Linked DNA regions of Arabidopsis thaliana. The protein of the gene in region 2 interacts with the protein of the main gene of each other region in a pairwise test. Each region holds a gene or a part of one and is shown on either strand. Other genes may lie near its edges. The genes, in order: DGK7 and AT3G61320.

Evidence for each region.
Region 1: the proteins of AT3G61320 (region 2) and DGK7 interact in a protein complementation assay, tested with the Arabidopsis thaliana proteins (one large-scale study listed by BioGRID).

What each region holds. Positions count from the first base shown.
Region 1 is NC_003075.7:14,836,396-14,845,287, reverse strand, and holds DGK7 (diacylglycerol kinase 7), read left to right. Parts: upstream 1-4,140; 5' UTR 4,141-4,346; coding exon 4,347-4,715; intron 4,716-5,082; coding exon 5,083-5,205; intron 5,206-5,281; coding exon 5,282-5,672; intron 5,673-5,778; coding exon 5,779-5,861; intron 5,862-5,963; coding exon 5,964-6,034; intron 6,035-6,132; coding exon 6,133-6,210; coding exon of another isoform or gene 6,211-6,220; exon of another isoform or gene 6,221-6,293; coding exon 6,294-6,381; intron 6,382-6,468; coding exon 6,469-6,585; intron 6,586-6,664; coding exon 6,665-6,823; 3' UTR 6,824-7,116; downstream 7,117-8,892. Other genes in the region: AT4G30330 (Small nuclear ribonucleoprotein family protein), read left to right, coding at 7,369-7,410, 7,502-7,528, 7,644-7,706, 8,179-8,257, 8,352-8,397, 8,506-8,515.
Region 2 is NC_003074.8:22,689,784-22,697,392, forward strand, and holds AT3G61320 (Bestrophin-like protein), read left to right. Parts: upstream 1-4,024; 5' UTR 4,025-4,035; coding exon 4,036-4,899; intron 4,900-4,964; coding exon 4,965-5,132; coding exon of another isoform or gene 5,133-5,153; exon of another isoform or gene 5,154-5,218; coding exon 5,219-5,425; coding exon of another isoform or gene 5,426-5,470; exon of another isoform or gene 5,471-5,514; coding exon 5,515-5,691; 3' UTR 5,692-5,971; downstream 5,972-7,609. Other genes in the region: AT3G61300 (C2 calcium/lipid-binding plant phosphoribosyltransferase family protein), read left to right, coding at 1-797; AT3G61310 (AT hook motif DNA-binding family protein), read right to left, coding at 1,016-1,261, 1,343-1,504, 1,590-1,721, 1,823-1,890, 2,206-2,662. UniProt on the Arabidopsis thaliana protein: Voltage-dependent chloride (Cl) channel critical for proton motive force (PMF) partitioning across the thylakoid membrane by anion influx into the lumen during illumination, thus being required for photoprotection under fluctuating light conditions.

The DNA.
Region 1 (8,892 bases), on a different chromosome or scaffold from region 2:
TCATCTTGCAGTTCAAAAATAATACTAAATGTTTGCACTAACATTATCACTTACCTTAGACGAGTCATTTAGCTTTGTAATTTACATTTGTCGAATTAGATGAAATTTGTAGCACCAGTTACTTATTTTATTTTATGGTGTCTCTGATAAACTTTACATGTGTATATATCCAATCATATACAAACATTTGAAAACAACTAGTATATGAATGAGAGTTCTTCTGATTGTGTTCTCCAAACGCTTGGTTTGGTTATATCATAATATCCAATAAAAGAACATTCATCCTCAAGAAGCCAAAATTGCTCTAACCAATAGATGTCCAATCTTTGATCAAGATCATGCCAAATAACTCACTCTTGCTTTGAAGAGTGAACGCATCTGTGACTTGGAACTTATTGTTATTAAAATCCCACACATTAATTTTTCTTTTATGTACATGAGACAGTATATAAGATTAACTCAACTAACCTCGCTAGGTTAGCATAAATGAATGAGGAATTTACGAATAACCGTCATCTTCGTATTCAGATTTGGACTATATTCGATTGACCTATTGTTTTACATTGCAAACCGAATAATATGTACATGTGATCGGGTCTTTGGGTTCTCGGATCCAAAATAATGGTCTCCGAGAAAATGGAAATTGTCGTGTAGCTAGAGAAAGGTGAAAAATAGAAAAAAGCTGACGCAAAGAAGAGAATAGTTTTATTGTGAAGACCGATAAACAAAAAAAAGTGCTGGTTTAAAAAGATGTTAAAGAGTTTCAGCTTTCTGCATTTATTATAACTTCACGTACAACTCTTGTCGACCTTCTGTGTCTTTTAATGCCTATCATTTCTATTTACCATTTTGCCCTATATTTCTGTCTTTTGATAAGCAGAAAGTGAGCAAAAAATTTTGTAATATTTGAAAATAATTGAATAAATAAACAGAGTATAATTTTCTTTTCTTTTGACAGCAATACTAAAATATTTTATAGTGCTTACATATTAGTAAATAATATAATACTCAGATGTTTATGTATAAGTTTTCAATCTATAAATTTGTTCCGAATATAACATAAATTTTCATTTCATTTTATAAACAGAAATTAAAAGTTTGTCCTAGTTAACTATCTTATGCCATAGAATTTTGTGAACATAATTAGAGTGAGACAAACCGTAAAACTGATCACTCCAAACCGTTTCAAATAACTAAAAGCATAATTAAAACCAATAGTTTTTTTTCATATTCAAATTAAGTGTTGGTGTTTTACTAACTAATCATTAAGAAAATGGTAGTGTAGAAAAAAAAACAGCTAAGTACTTTTAAAGTCATCAAAAAGAAACTTGAGTTTTTTAAACTTCGCAAAACATTCTGTAGACGACTTTGTAATATTTTGCTAACAAAACAGCTAACATTTTTTTTCTAAGTTTATTAAATCTGTTGAATGTTTGAGTCATTTTCTTTTCTTTTACCATAATATTGTAGGCCAATAAAAGATGAGAGGTACCGACTAGTTGTGCAATCAATGCATTCATCATGAAAAAGTTGAATTCTCTTTGACGCGTTAGGGACTCCCCGAAAAGGTCTACCTTTTCCATTTTAAAGGAGCACAAATTTTTTAATGCGATTTCTAATTTCATAAGGTATATGATCATGTGAAGATGAAAAAAGCCTTCCTCAAAGGCTACTTATTAATTTGTGCAGAGAGACTATCATATGTATAGATTAGATAGCACAATTTAGTTCTTCCAAAGTCATCAAAAATAAACTTATGTAAGTTGACGTAAATAATACAACGATGATCATATTTCAATATTTCATATAAAAGGGCCTCTCGCTGTGGAAAAATATTTGATGCTTCAATGATCAGAGGCAAATCAAAATCTGTAATGAAGGATTTATTATAAAACTAAAACTATAATTTGTCATTAAGCTACAAAACCCATTCTTAAATCTCAACTAAACCCATTAAGTTCATTATTGGTAGGGCCGAATCACATTGATGGCTCGCTTTTCTTTCTTATGATAAATACAAATTCTTAGGTGTACTTTGAGTGATTCAAGTGTCACATGATGCCACACTTATTTCTTTCAAAACATCCTTAATTACAAACAATTTTATTTTATGATCAATAAATTTTAATGATATTCAGTCACAATAATCTTTGAAATTACATATATTCAAACTTGGTTATATGCATCCATGCATAATTGAATATTAGTATCATTTGAGTTCACGACTTTAATACCATCACTTCCAAACAGAGCGGCCCAACTCGAATCCATAAACCAACACACACAAAATAGACACAAATTGAGTCTATGGATTAAATGTCAACACTGATCCACTATAGTCTATATTTTTATAATTTTTATGGAAGAGTTTAGTCGAACTTCAGTGCGAAAGAAAGAAGGCTAAGCAACCTTAACAACTCACTTAAGATTTAGCCGTGAAACTAAAATTTGGCTAAGCCTCAAACCTGAATTACCCTTGTTTGGGTTCATATGCCGACTCATTACGTCCCACCGCTACTTCCAAAGGCACGAGTCCATGTGGGTCATAAAATGACGTGTACTTGTTTTTTTCTTACAGAGATGAAGAACTTAACTGATTTGATTCCGTTCAGAAACAACGGATTGAAAACATGTTGATTCCGATTCGTATAATGTCTAGATTCCTTTTCTTTAACTCGTAAATCCTTTCTTGGACGCGGTTTCGAGACTTTGACGTTGATAAAATGTGAATATGTGTACATGTCCACCTTTGCCTCTTACGTTGACGGTCGACAACTTTTTGCAAGTCTTCCAATTTCTTTCCATTTATGCAATTTTTCCCCTCAACCTATTTATATCTTCACTATATGCTAATCTACTCATTTTAAATACTTTTCATTAAAGATCAAATTTAAGATTAATCTGAAAGGTACCAAATTTTATTTATGATTGGAAAACGATGCCTAACCAATAACAAAAATGACTTTCATTAGCATTTTGATTTATTAAAATCCTGAAAATAATTAAGTTGGTCCTAGACACAAAACTAAAATATATCATTCCACCAACATCATCATCATATAATAGAAGTTTATAAATGTTTTATTTGAATTTTAGTTCAAGTTACTTGGTTTTAGAAAATGCGTAACCAATATAAAGACGGCTATAGTATGAAGCGATGTTGATGCGGAATTGATCTTTAGTTAAACAGCTCTTAACTTTTACAAGAATTTAAGTTATATCTCAATTAAAATTTGGTTTCGACAACCCCTGAATCGTTTGTTTGTTGTGGAACGAAAGGTTTGTGTGAATTGCTTTAGGCAGGTTACAGAGGAATTAACATATAATTCAGGTTTTTTTTATCTATTTAAACAGTTGAACAGTTTTAAGTTTTAACCATACATGAATATATTTTTATCTTGATTATTCAGTTACATTTGGATTGAATAGAGTCGGTTAATCCAAATTAGTCACCTTTTCATAAGATTGTTTATATTGAAGAACTAACTAACGTATGAGAATCAATGTTTAGACAGACTTGAGAGCATTTGTGAAAAATTTAGGTCCCCTGTATACCCATAAAACCCATAGGCTATAATGGGCTTAAAAATACAAGATAATTGTTGTATGGATCCTAAAATTCACCACCTCGGCCCATACGTGAGTTATGTAAATGAAAGTTGAAATAAAATAGTTATGTAACGCACCGGTTATTTAGGATGCAATAAATATATAGGCATATCTCCCTAACCAGAAAAGAAAAATGAATATTGGACAGCTTCACGATCTAATAACACACCACACCCAGTAGGGCAATATAGTCATAAATATGCGGCCCATATGTCACATCCTGACACAGTCCACTGCCTCATTTAATTGTCCCTTTTACCCTTTTTACAATCTTAACGTGACAAGTAAAGCATTTAATAGTCTCTCTTTCTGTAAACTTACATAGTTTTGCATTTACAAGTCAAATATCAAAATATGCAGGTATTATTAGGGGTTTTAATTAGGGTAACAAGTAAAAAAAACTTTAAATTTGTAGTCTTACGATAGAAAAAAAACTTCCTTCTCATTCGCCTTAAAAGATGGTCACATATAAATCAACGAGATTTAAAAGTAGTGGCAATTCTGTAAATTCGTAATACTAGTAAGGGCATTTTCATGTCGTTTTTTTAAAAAGTTGCAAAATCTACACGTTTAAATACGCACATCGAAGTACACCGATTTTGATTTGCTCTGTCTTCGAAAACTAATCTTAAAAAACAAAACACAGAACTGTCAATTTATTAGTCTTATTGAATTGTCTTCAAAGTTCGATCATTTTTTTACGTTTTATTTTAATTTGTTTCTCCAAGAATCTGATAATGGAGGAGACGCCGAGATCAGTCGGCGAAGCATCGACGACTAATTTCGTGGCGGCGAGACCGTCGGCGAAGACCGATGATGCAGTGACGATGAGAGGTTGTGGTTTTGCTAATCTTGCCTTGGTTGGTATAGACAAAGAAGAGCTTCGAGGGAGACTAGCGATGCCTGAGTATCTTCGTATAGCTATGAGAGATTGTATCAAGAGGAAAGATTCAACAGAGATTTCTGATCATTTGTTACTTCCTGGAGGCGCCGCCGCTGATATGGCTCCTCACGCGCCAATGGTTGTGTTTATTAACCCGAAAAGTGGTGGTCGTCATGGTCCTGTTCTTAAAGAGAGGCTTCAACAATTGATGACTGAAGAACAGGTCTGTTTTTTAAAAAACAAAAACTTTTTTTTTGTTTGCAACTTATGAAATGAGCTCACTTTACTTAACTTTTGAAATGAACTTGAGATCATATTTTTGTTTGAAGAAGATTTTAAATCTTGATTTGGGAGTTTACTTTCTTTTTGACTTCACTAGATTTGTGGTTAGATTGTGAATGGAAACACTCTGTTTTGGTTTAATGAGTATAACTATGAGCCTATGGCATTCTTATTGTTCTGACATCATCAAATGTTCTGTTTTTTTTTTCTCTGTAATTTTGTTTAGAAGAAGTTATAAACTGTTTTGTCTTAAAAAGACTGTGATTCCTCCTTAGTTAGTGAGCTCATGTTAATATTTGCAATGACAGGTATTTGATCTCACAGAAGTGAAGCCTCATGAATTTGTACGGTACGGTTTGGGGTGCTTGGACACATTGGCTGCTAAAGGAGATGAATGTGCAAGAGAATGCAGAGAAAAGATACGGATCATGGTGAGTATCTATTTCCAAAGTATTAGTTAGCAATTGGAATTAGATTTGCTAAGTTAGCGGCGATGATTGATGATAGGTAGCAGGCGGTGATGGTACCGTTGGTTGGGTTCTTGGATGTCTCGGTGAGCTTCATAAAGATGGTAAATCACATATTCCTCCTGTTGGAGTTATACCTCTTGGTACAGGAAATGACCTCTCCAGGAGTTTTAGTTGGGGTGGTTCATTCCCTTTTGCTTGGAGATCTGCTATGAAAAGAACATTACATCGAGCAACTTTAGGTTCCATTGCTCGATTAGATAGCTGGAAGATTGTAGTGTCGATGCCATCTGGAGAAGTCGTTGATCCTCCTTATTCTTTGAAGCCTACAATAGAGGAAACTGCACTTGATCAGGCTTTGGATGCTGATGGAGATGTACCTCCTAAAGCAAAGTCTTATGAAGGAGTGTTCTACAACTACTTCAGCATAGGTTTGGAATTTGGATACATGAAGTAACTTTATCTTTCATTGTTCTTAATAAATTTCTACAAAGTTAAACCTTTTGAAGTAATTTGGTATTTTCTTGTGTTGTTTAGGTATGGATGCTCAAGTTGCATATGGGTTCCACCATCTTCGCAATGAGAAACCGTATCTAGCTCAAGGCCCTGTTACAAATAAGGTTGCTATATATCAGAATCTTCATTCTTGTCTAAGTTTCATTAATTAGCTGTTTTTTTGGTTTGTAATGAGATTATGAATCACACTCGTTTCGGTTTTGCAGATTATCTATTCGAGTTACAGTTGTACTCAAGGTTGGTTTTGCACGCCTTGTGTCAACAATCCAGCTTTAAGGTTAGCATTTTCTGTGAAGAGAGTAAACCAAAAGCCTTTTCTTTACTCAATTCCTGTCTCTTGTTGTGTTGACATGTTGTGGTAAGATGAATTTGCAGGGGACTAAGAAACATTATGAAAATCCATATTAAAAAGGCAAATTGTTCCGAGTGGGAAGAGATCCATGTTCCTAAGAGGTTCATATAAAACTAATCTTATCTTTGATTAAAACTAAAAAAATGGCTTCACTTATAATCTCTCTGGTTTTGTTTTGGTGTAGCGTAAGATCTATTGTGGTGTTGAATCTTTATAACTATGGAAGTGGAAGACATCCATGGGGTAATCTCAGACCAAAATATTTAGAGAAGGTAATAATGTTTTATTCAGTACACTAATCTTAGGTTTTATTGCTTTCTCTACAAGCTTTAACAGAACGTGTTCGGGTTTTATAACAGAGAGGATTTGTGGAGGCGCATTGTGATGACGGACTGATAGAGATCTTCGGTTTAAAGCAAGGTTGGCATGCGTCATTTGTAATGGCTGAAATTATCTCAGCTAAGCACATTGCTCAGGTACAACAAAATACATCCAAAGTTTCTTTATAAGAATCGGTTTAACCTCGGTTTGATATTAAACCGTTTATCGTTTTAGGCGGCTGCGATTAGATTTGAACTAAGAGGAGGTGATTGGAAAAATGCATTCTTGCAAATGGATGGTGAACCATGGAAACAACCGATGAAGAGTGATTATTCGACTTTTGTAGAGATAAAAAAGGTTCCTTTTCAATCGTTAATGATCAATGGCGAATGATCGAGGAAACTCTTTTCAAGAAGTTGTAAAAGGATTAAAAAAGCATGATTCTTTATGTATTTCTGTTCCATCAATTAGTCAAAATAGTGATCTATGTTGAGCTTTTGCTACGGCTGTTGTTGTGCTAGTGAAGCATTTAACTTTGTGTATTTTATCAAAAAAAGATGGTTATTTATTCAATAGTCATTAATATACAATTAAGATATAAGCAATCATCTTCAGGTAGACCTTGAAATCTTGTAAACATGATTTTGCTGTCTTTAAACTCTGTTTCTTAAGTCGTTTTTCAGTGTTTTGGAGATAGTAGTAATGGGTCTAAAAAGTTAAATAATGTTTTTGTGGGGAGAAAAATGAAAATAGCAGATTTTCGAGGATGGGAAGAGTAAAACATATATTTGAGAAGTCGAAAAGTGTGAAATATTTGTTCTGTCTCGCGAGGAAGAGAGAAAAATCGAATTAGAAATTGCAAGTTTTAGGGTTTTAGAAAATCTATCTTCTTCACTGAGTTTTCCAGCTCCGAAGAACACTTGCAACTTCAGGCAATTATGGCGAGCACCAAAGTTCAGAGGATTATGACTCAACCCATTGTACATTCCTCGATTTCTGTTTACTAATTCGATCTTTTTTTTTTTTTATTGTTTCTGTTTAGCTCACTGTTCTTCTTACTTTTGATTTCAGAATCTGATTTTCAGATTTCTCCAAAGTGTAAGTTTTTCGATTACTCTGTTAATTTTCGTCACTTTTACTCTATTTGGGAACACCATTGAGTTTGTGAGAGGTGTGTACTTATATATATAGTGTGGTTCTTCTTATAATGTAGAAAGCTCGGATTCAGATTTGGCTTTTTGAGCAGAAAGATTTGAGGATTGAGGGACGAATTACTGTAAGTCATAATCCTGTTTCGAGCTTAGCACAAAATTTTGAACTTTCTTGCTTTGTTGATAGGTTAAACTAGAAAATTTGACATGCTTGTGTTAGTTAAGCTGTGTGATTCTAGCTACACTTTTAAAGTGAAGTGTAACATCTTGGAATTTTTCATAATGCTGTTTCTATTTGTTGTTCGAATTTTGATTGCTACGCTGATTTAGTTACCGTTGAGTTTATATACATTGTTTGATAGTAAGGGACCAATTGATAGCAATGAGTTCGGTTATTTCGGTTGGTGCGTATTATCTAGATTTAAGACTGAGATTGTATTGCTAGAATTTCTTTCTTGAGATAATAACAGAGTTTGTTCTTTTCTGTGAAGCTTAAGATTTATCAATGTCTTGGTTGTCTTAGATCTTTAACCACGAGTTGTTTAGTTGACGTTGAGTGTTTCATTGTTTCGTTATTTTAACATTTGCATTGTGCAGGGTTTTGATGAGTACATGAATTTGGTGCTGGATGAGGCAGAGGAAGTGAGCATCAAGAAGAAAACCAGAAAACCACTTGGTGAGTTACTTGCTACTCTCCTACAAGACTCCTTTCACATTTCTTATATTGGTTTTGTTTTTGGTGCTAACTCTCGCAAATACTGGATTTTCAGGTCGGATTTTGCTTAAAGGAGACAACATAACTCTCATGATGAACGCGTAAGTATCATTATTATCCTCTTCAGATCCTTTCTTTCCCATATCTCTCAATTCGTCTCTCCATGAATGTTGAGATACAAACTCAATCCCTTATATATCTTATTACAGGGGCAAGTGATGTCTGTTGCAGTGCAAGGAATGATCTAATTATATGGAATGGTTTAAGAGTTCCTGCTCCCCTCTCGTTTCTCTGTTGGGTAAAAGTTGTCTTTTTGCTGTTTACTTCTGTCAACTTGAGAAATTTCAACTTTGCAAACAAAATTATGAGAAAATAGTTTCATCAAAAAAGACCTCAAATCCAAGAAGATTGTAGAAATGTCTAATATTTGTCTATTTGGTTAGATTACGATCCAAAATCTGATATTAATATGATTCGTTGGTCTTATTAGTCAAAAGAAGGCCCTCGCATAAATCACACATAAGAAAATGTTGGGAGAAACATACGTTGTGTTGTTTTCCCGATCTCACGTTACCAATAAAAAATAACATTGTATA
Region 2 (7,609 bases):
TTCCCAAGATGCATTACGCAAGACCGTTGAAAGTAGTGCAGCAGGAGATTCTTAGGCAGCATGCGGTTAACTTAGTGGCAGCTCGGTTAAGTAGAGCCGAGCCGCCACTTAGAAAAGAAGTAGTTGAATACATTTCGGATTCAAATTCGCATTTATGGAGCATGAGGAAGAGCCGTGCAAATCTCTTCAGATTGAGTTCTGTTTTCTCTGGTTTACTAGGAACCGGAGAATGGTTTCAAGATATCTGCAGGTGGAAGAAACCGGTAGAAACTACAGCTATTCATATAATCTTCTTGGTGTTAGTGTGTTCGCCGGAGATGATTCTTCCAGTGATGTCTCTTTGCTTGTTCATGCTTGGGGTATGGAACTACAGGCTCCGTCCAAGACAACCTCCACACATGGACACAAGACTATCATTTGCAGACAATATCCACCCGGAAGAGCTTAACGAAGAGTTCGATACCTTCCCTTTTTCGTCTCAAGACCCGGGGATTGTAAAAATGCGGTACGAGCGGTTAAGGAGTATCGCTAGTAGAGCTCAAACGGTTGTGGGAGATATAGCAGGTCAAGGAGAACGAGTTCAGGCTCTGTTAAGCTGGAGAGATCCAAGAGCAACTTCGATCTTCATGGTGCTTTGTTTGGTTTCTACTGTCGTTTTGTATGTTGTGCCGTTTAAGGTTTTTGTTCTTCTCGCCGGACTATACATCATGAGACCTCCAAGATTCAGGGGTAAGACACCTCCTGGACCTATTAATTTCTTCCGACGACTTCCTGCTAAAACAGATTGTATGCTGTAGAATGCTAAAACGTATAAGAAACAAGCAATTTTTTTTCCCATTCATAACAAGTCAAGAGACCAAATCAACTAACTGAAAGCTCGAAAACACGCAGAAATTCCTAAACTTACTAATTGTCTTTTTCTTTCCTAAACAATACCAATAGACTACTTTGTTTCAGGGAGGTTAGCTCAAGTTTCTTCTTCTTCTCCTAGATTCAATGCTTATATATACATGAATCATCCACGCATTAGATCAATGTCCATATGGGGGTGATGCATATCCATTGACCTTGAACCAGTTGACCAAATGCCTACAGGAGTCTGAACAATGTTCTGACTTTGCTGAGGAACAGGAGGTGACGTTGCTGCTGTGTTATCGTTGTTGTTTTCCAAAGCATCAGTATCTTGGACATCTTCAGAAGTTTCTTCACGTTTTTTAATCTTCCCTTTCGGAATTGCCCAAATGAAGCTGCCAACAATGACCTTTTAAGGAGGCAAACACACATAGTTAAGCATAAGAAATCTAAATTCATCTAAGGAATTTGATAACAAGCGTAAGCTCACCTGGACTTGGCTTGCTGCTATTAGAGGACCTCCAATTCCACCACCAATGACACGACCATCGGGGCTAGCAAGTGAGACCGCTAGACTTCCAGTGCGGTTTGGGTAGTCATTGTCAGTTGTGTTCAGATAAGAAGTTGAGAGAGATATGAGCTCGAATAGACCCTATAAGTTTCAAAGTATACACCAAAATAAGTAATGTTTTTGTCTTCTAAAAGATAATAAAATGTGAGTGATGATTCAATAAAACCTCGTATATAATAGTTCCATGAGAAGGTGCTGGCTGAAGAAGAGTTGCAGTAGAGACAGCACCACTTGCGGATAAGACACATATCGCTCGTGGACCTTGATGCGAGAACGATATAACCTTTGAAGCAATGTCCTGAAAGCAACACCGAGAGTATGGTTATCTCAAGAACTAGAGGCAAGATTACAAAGAAAAAAAAGAACAGATTTATTCAAGAGGAGACAGAAGAAACATACTTCACCAATGGAAACTACGATTACATGCGGTGTGAAGCTCATCCCAGTTGATGAAGGCATCATTTCACCTTACAAAAAAGAATCAAATGTCTTCAGAAAAATCACAGCTAATTGTAATCAGGGAGAAACAGAGCAATAACAAAGTTTAAGAGAAAGGCCAAGGAATAATAAAAGAATAAATATTGAATTCAACAATTTGACATTATAAAATTCCACAGCTTTAATTAATCCTTAACAGTTCGAATTAGCTTATAATAAACTTCCCACCAATGTCCTCATTTGAAAAACTATATCATCAATTAAGCTCAAAACTTCCCACCATATTCAGAGCCAATGTCCTTGTCGGAAAATAAAACTCATAAGTTAGAGATTAGGGATATTACCAATGGAAGATAGCCGTTGCTTCTTGCCGGAGCCAGGAGGTCTTCCACGGCCACGTTTGTTAGAGTTCGGGGAAACGTTGGAGATAGAAGGAGACAATGCCAACGAAACAGAACCACCATCTTGTCCATATTTTCTAGGCCGTCCTCTCTTCCGCTTCACAGACGTGTCACCTGAAGGAGGAGCAACCAAAGCTCCCGCCGCCGCCGCTGACGAATCAGCCGGAGAAGAGTCAACGGGTAAAGGAGGAGACACGAATCCAGTAGAGACACCTCCAGGGTTTGGATTTGGGTTTGGGTTTGACCCAAAAGGAGAGATGGAATTGGTGAAATGATGAAATCCTTGTGATCCGTGAAACGTTGGTTGAGTTTGAGGAGGAGGAGGACCAGAACCGGGGATTCCTCTTTGGATATAGTAAGAACCCGACCCGGATAACGCCATTGCGTCTCTTCGATCCATAGCTTAACCAAAAAGACTCTGACTTTAACTTAGTAAAATTCGATGGGGACCCTAAATGGCTAACTTATAGGAGGAGGGATAAGAAGAGAACAAAATCAGAATCTAAAAGGGTTCGATAGACTTCAAGAGCAAGATAACAACATGCAACCGAAAATCTCTGAAAACTTATCAAAACACACAAACTTTCATTTCACCTAATTGTTTTTTATGTAGCTTTAGTATCAAGCTATGAGAAAATCTCAAGATGAAATTAGATCCAAAAGAGAAAAGGAAAGAACTTTAATTTTCTTCATCTCTTCTTCTCTGTTTCATTCTCTCACCAAAAGCAAAGAAATGAAGTGTGAATAAGCTTTCTCATCCATCAATCAACAATGGTGAAGAAAAAAAAAAGTTTTCTAGGGTTCTCTCTCTTTCTTTCTTCAGAGTGTATGTGATGTTGCTTTTTTTCTTTTACTGGGTGACAGAGGGAAAACAGAAACAAACAAAAAAAGATCCTTTCTCCAAGCATTTACTGTGGATTACAATACAATGGGATGATGAGGCAGGATTTCAAAATTCGAAATTAAATTTGAAGTCTCTGACTTTTGACTGTGATATAAGCTCTCTCTCTATCTCTCTAATAGACTTCTTTCTAGCATCTAGCAATTTGTAGGAGGGATCCATCCATCCATCATCATCATCATCTTTGTGTGGCTCATTCTCAACGCTATAGATTAGGTGCGTGTATCAAACGAAGCATTGGGAATGAGAGAGTGAATCTCACGCTTCTGATGTCGAGAGTGAGAGAATAGTGATGTGATCTAGTCAAGACTTTCTTTGTTCCTCACTGGCTTCCACTTCATCATAAGCTTTCAAAATTTATGAATCCCCCAATCTATCTTTAGACTCTATTTTACCATAAATACTTGAGACTAATGATTATATATTGGCATTAAGAGACATATAACATGAATATAAATTCCCATTTTGTGGAGTAAATATTGTTCTTGTCTCTGTTCTGTTCACTTTAAATCTTCATTTTTCTCTACAAACAATAATCATTAGGACCCAAGAGTTTATCAACAATACAGAATCTGAACGTTTAGTACTCATGTCATGTGAAGTGAAGTGAAGAAGATCAACAAGAACATTAATTGTTTGCTATAATCTTCTATGGGCCGGATAGGAATAATTAGGCCCAGTATCTAACACATCAAACAAAAACACATCGAAGTCGAATCGTCGGTGGGATAATTAGGCCCAGTATATTCAAACAAAATAACATTTAACAGATCCAAGTCCAATGTTGTCGTGGAACGAACGTCGTTTAGAATAATTAAGCCCAGTATTTAACATATCAAAGCCCAATGTTGTCCTAAAACGACGACGTTTGAATGTGGAACGTAAACAATCCTGGAACAACCGTTTCAACTACCTTTTTCCTATCACTTGTTTTTTCACCTCTCGAAGTCCTCCGATTTGCTACCCTTACGCAGCCTCATGTGTCAACCACCATTTCTCTTCTTCATCTTCGTCTCTATCAAACCCTAAACCTAAAACCCCTTATTTTCCCGCCAATGTATCAATCCATGAATCTATCAGTTTCTTCCAATTTCACTCACCGATCACTCCTCGAATCACGATTTCCTATATTCTCCACCGGATTCCGCAAATCCGTCAATCTCAAACCTCCCCGTGTCTCATCTGGTCCTGAATCCAACGATTCAGGTCACGAAACCTTAACCGATAAGCTTATCCATCTCCTCAGAGCTGTTCCAGATTGGGCAGACGAGATTAAAGAGCGTGGGATGCAGCAGAAACGCTCTCTCTACACACACGAGAAATGGGTTGAACATAGAAGCTCTCTTCGCCATGTGCGTCATCTACTCTCGAGCTTTTCTTCACGAGTTATACTCTCCCTGATTCCACCTGTTTTCTTCTTCACAAGCGTCGCGGTTGTGATCGCTAGCTACAACTCCGCCGTGGCTTTGGATTGGCTTCCTGGTATTTTTCCAATTCTTCGATCCTCGTCGTTGCCGTATCAGCTCACAGCTCCGGCTTTGGCTCTTCTTCTGGTCTTTCGTACGGAGGCTTCGTATTCTAGGTATGAAGAAGGAAGGAAAGCTTGGGTTGGGATTATTGCTGGAACTAATGATTTAGCTAGGCAAGTTATTTGTTCCGTTGATAGCTCCGGTGATGAATTGATCATCAAAGATTTGCTTCTTCGTTACATTGCAGCTTTCCCTGTTGCTCTTAAGGTAAAAAATATTCATCTCTTGCTTGACTCTATTGTTGGTTTCTGATGCTTTAATTTCATTTGCAGTGTCATGTGATTTATGGTTCAGATATAGCAAGAGATCTCCGGAACTTGATAGAAGCAGATGACTTATCTCTGATTCTTCAAGCAAAGCATCGTCCGCGTTGTGTAATCGAGTTCATTTCTCAGAGCATTCAGTTGCTAAAACTAGACGATGCAAAGAGAGATTTGTTGGTAGCATTCTTGAATCCTTGAACTCTCTATTAAAATTCTTTGCTATGAACACTTGACACCAATATATGTTCTTTGCGTCATTGCAGGAATCAAAGATGCTGCATTTACATGAAGGAATTGGAGTTTGTGAACAACTCATGGGCATTCCGATTCCTCTCTCTTACACACGCTTAACCTCGAGGTTTTTAGTCTTTTGGCATCTAACTCTCCCAATCATTCTCTGGGATGAATGCCATTGGATTGTTGTTCCTGCTACTTTCATTAGTGCTGCCTCTCTGTTCTGCATAGAAGAAGTACTTTGTCCTCCTCCTCCTCCATACTTACCCTCTTTTGCTTGAATCCTTAACCATTAAACCTTCTTTTTGGATTGGAAACTCTGCAGGTGGGTGTTCTTATAGAAGAACCATTTCCTATGTTGGCCTTAGATGAGCTTTGCGATCTTGTGCATAGTAACATCCAAGAAGCTGTTAAATCTGAGAAAGTCATACGTAACCGCATCATTGCAAAGATAAAGCTCCATGAATTCAAGCACTCATCAAATGGTCGCCATAGATCTTGATTACCGGTTGGTGTGAGTGATGTAGGTTGTCTTCCCGAGGGAGCTAAGAACATGTGATGGCTTAGGTTAGCTTTGATATATACGTATCGTATGTTAGAGTAAAATTCTTTTAGAGGTAATGGAGAAAGTGTTTAAGTGTTTTGAGAGAGTTTTTTAGGAAATAGAACTTTTATTACTTTGCTTTAAACTTGAATACAACTTCACAACATTGCAACATTTGAGAGGGGGAGGAGGTATTTATAGCCTCCAAACTACAAAATATCTAAAATATTTTAATCCTAAGTCTAGAGAGTTCTTACATAAGATCTAGATTACATTATTCAAATTATCTAGATTATTCTATTAGAGTATCTAGATTTTTATGTTTAAGGAGGTGGAAGATGATTCTAGAAAATTTCTAGAATCTTTTAAGGAGGTGGAAATGATGATATTTCTAGAGAAAACTCTAGAACTTGGATTTGGCCATAATTAATTATTGGATAATTGATCCAATAATTAAACTTGATTCAAAATCAAGTTTAACTTTCAACACCCCCTCTTAAACTTGATTTTGCTACTCCAAGCAAACTCCTCATCTTGATAAAGTTTTCACGCTTGAGAGGCTTGGTAAAAAAATCGGCTACTTGATCATGTGTCTTCACATACTCCAATTGCACGTCCTTCTTGCTAACACACTCTCTAATGTAGTGATAGCGTGTGTCAATGTGTTTACTTCGATCATGGAAGACCGGGTTCTTCGCCAAAGCTATTGCCGACTTGTTGTCCACAAAGATCTTCGTTGGTTCCTCTTGTGGTAAGCTTAACTCCTTCAAGAGGTTTCTTAACCAAATAGCATGGCATACACATGACGTAGCCGCTACATACTCCGCTTCACAAGTGGATAGAGTGACAATTGGTTGTTTCTTCGACATCCATGTGAAAGCCGTGTCTCCAATGTAAAACACAAAACCACTTGTACTCTTTCGGTCATCTACGTCTCCACCCCAATCGCTATCGCTATATCCAACAAGCTTGTAATCACTAGTAGTTGAATAATGTAAGCCAAAGTTTACAGTACCTTTGATATAGCGAAGAATCCTTTTTGCCGCTTTGAAATGAGTTGTTGTTGGATGCTCCATGTAACGACTAACAACTCCGACCGCATATAAAATATCGGGCCTTGTGCATGTTAAGTATCTCAAGCTTCCAACCAAGCTCTTAAAGGTTGTTGGATCCACTCCTTCCCCTTCTTCTTTCTTTGATAGTTTGATTCCGCATTCCATTGGTGTACAAACGGGATTTGAGTCATCTATCTTGAACTTCTTAAGTACCTCCTTAGCATAGCCTTCTTGAGTTATGAATATTCCATTGTCTTCTTGTTTTACTTCAATTCCGAGATAGTAAGACATCAATCCAATGTCCGTCATCTCGAACTCCTTCGTCATCTCTTTCTTGAATTCTTCGAATATGCTTGGATTGTTACCCGTGAATATCAAGTCATCTACATATAAGCATGCGATCAATATATCTTCTTTTTGAATTTTGATATAGAGTGCATGCTCATATGGACACTTGATGAAATCTTTCTCCTTGAAATACTTGTCAATTCGAGTATTCCAAGCTCTTGGGGCTTGTTTTAATCCATAAAGCACCTTTTTTAGCCTCAAGACTTTGTCTTCTTCACCTTTGACTATGTAGCCTTGTGGTTGCTCAATGTAAACTTCTTCTTCAAGATCTCCATTTAAGAAGGCCGACTTGACATCCATTTGATGTATCTTCCACTTGTTTTGAGCCGCTAGTGAGATGATTAGTCTAACCGTTTCTAGACGAGCAACGGGAGCAAATACCTCGTCATAGTCAATTCCGACTCTTTGACTATAACCTTTTGCAACCAATCTTGCTTTGTATCTTTCCACTTCTCCTTTAGAGTTTTTCTTTG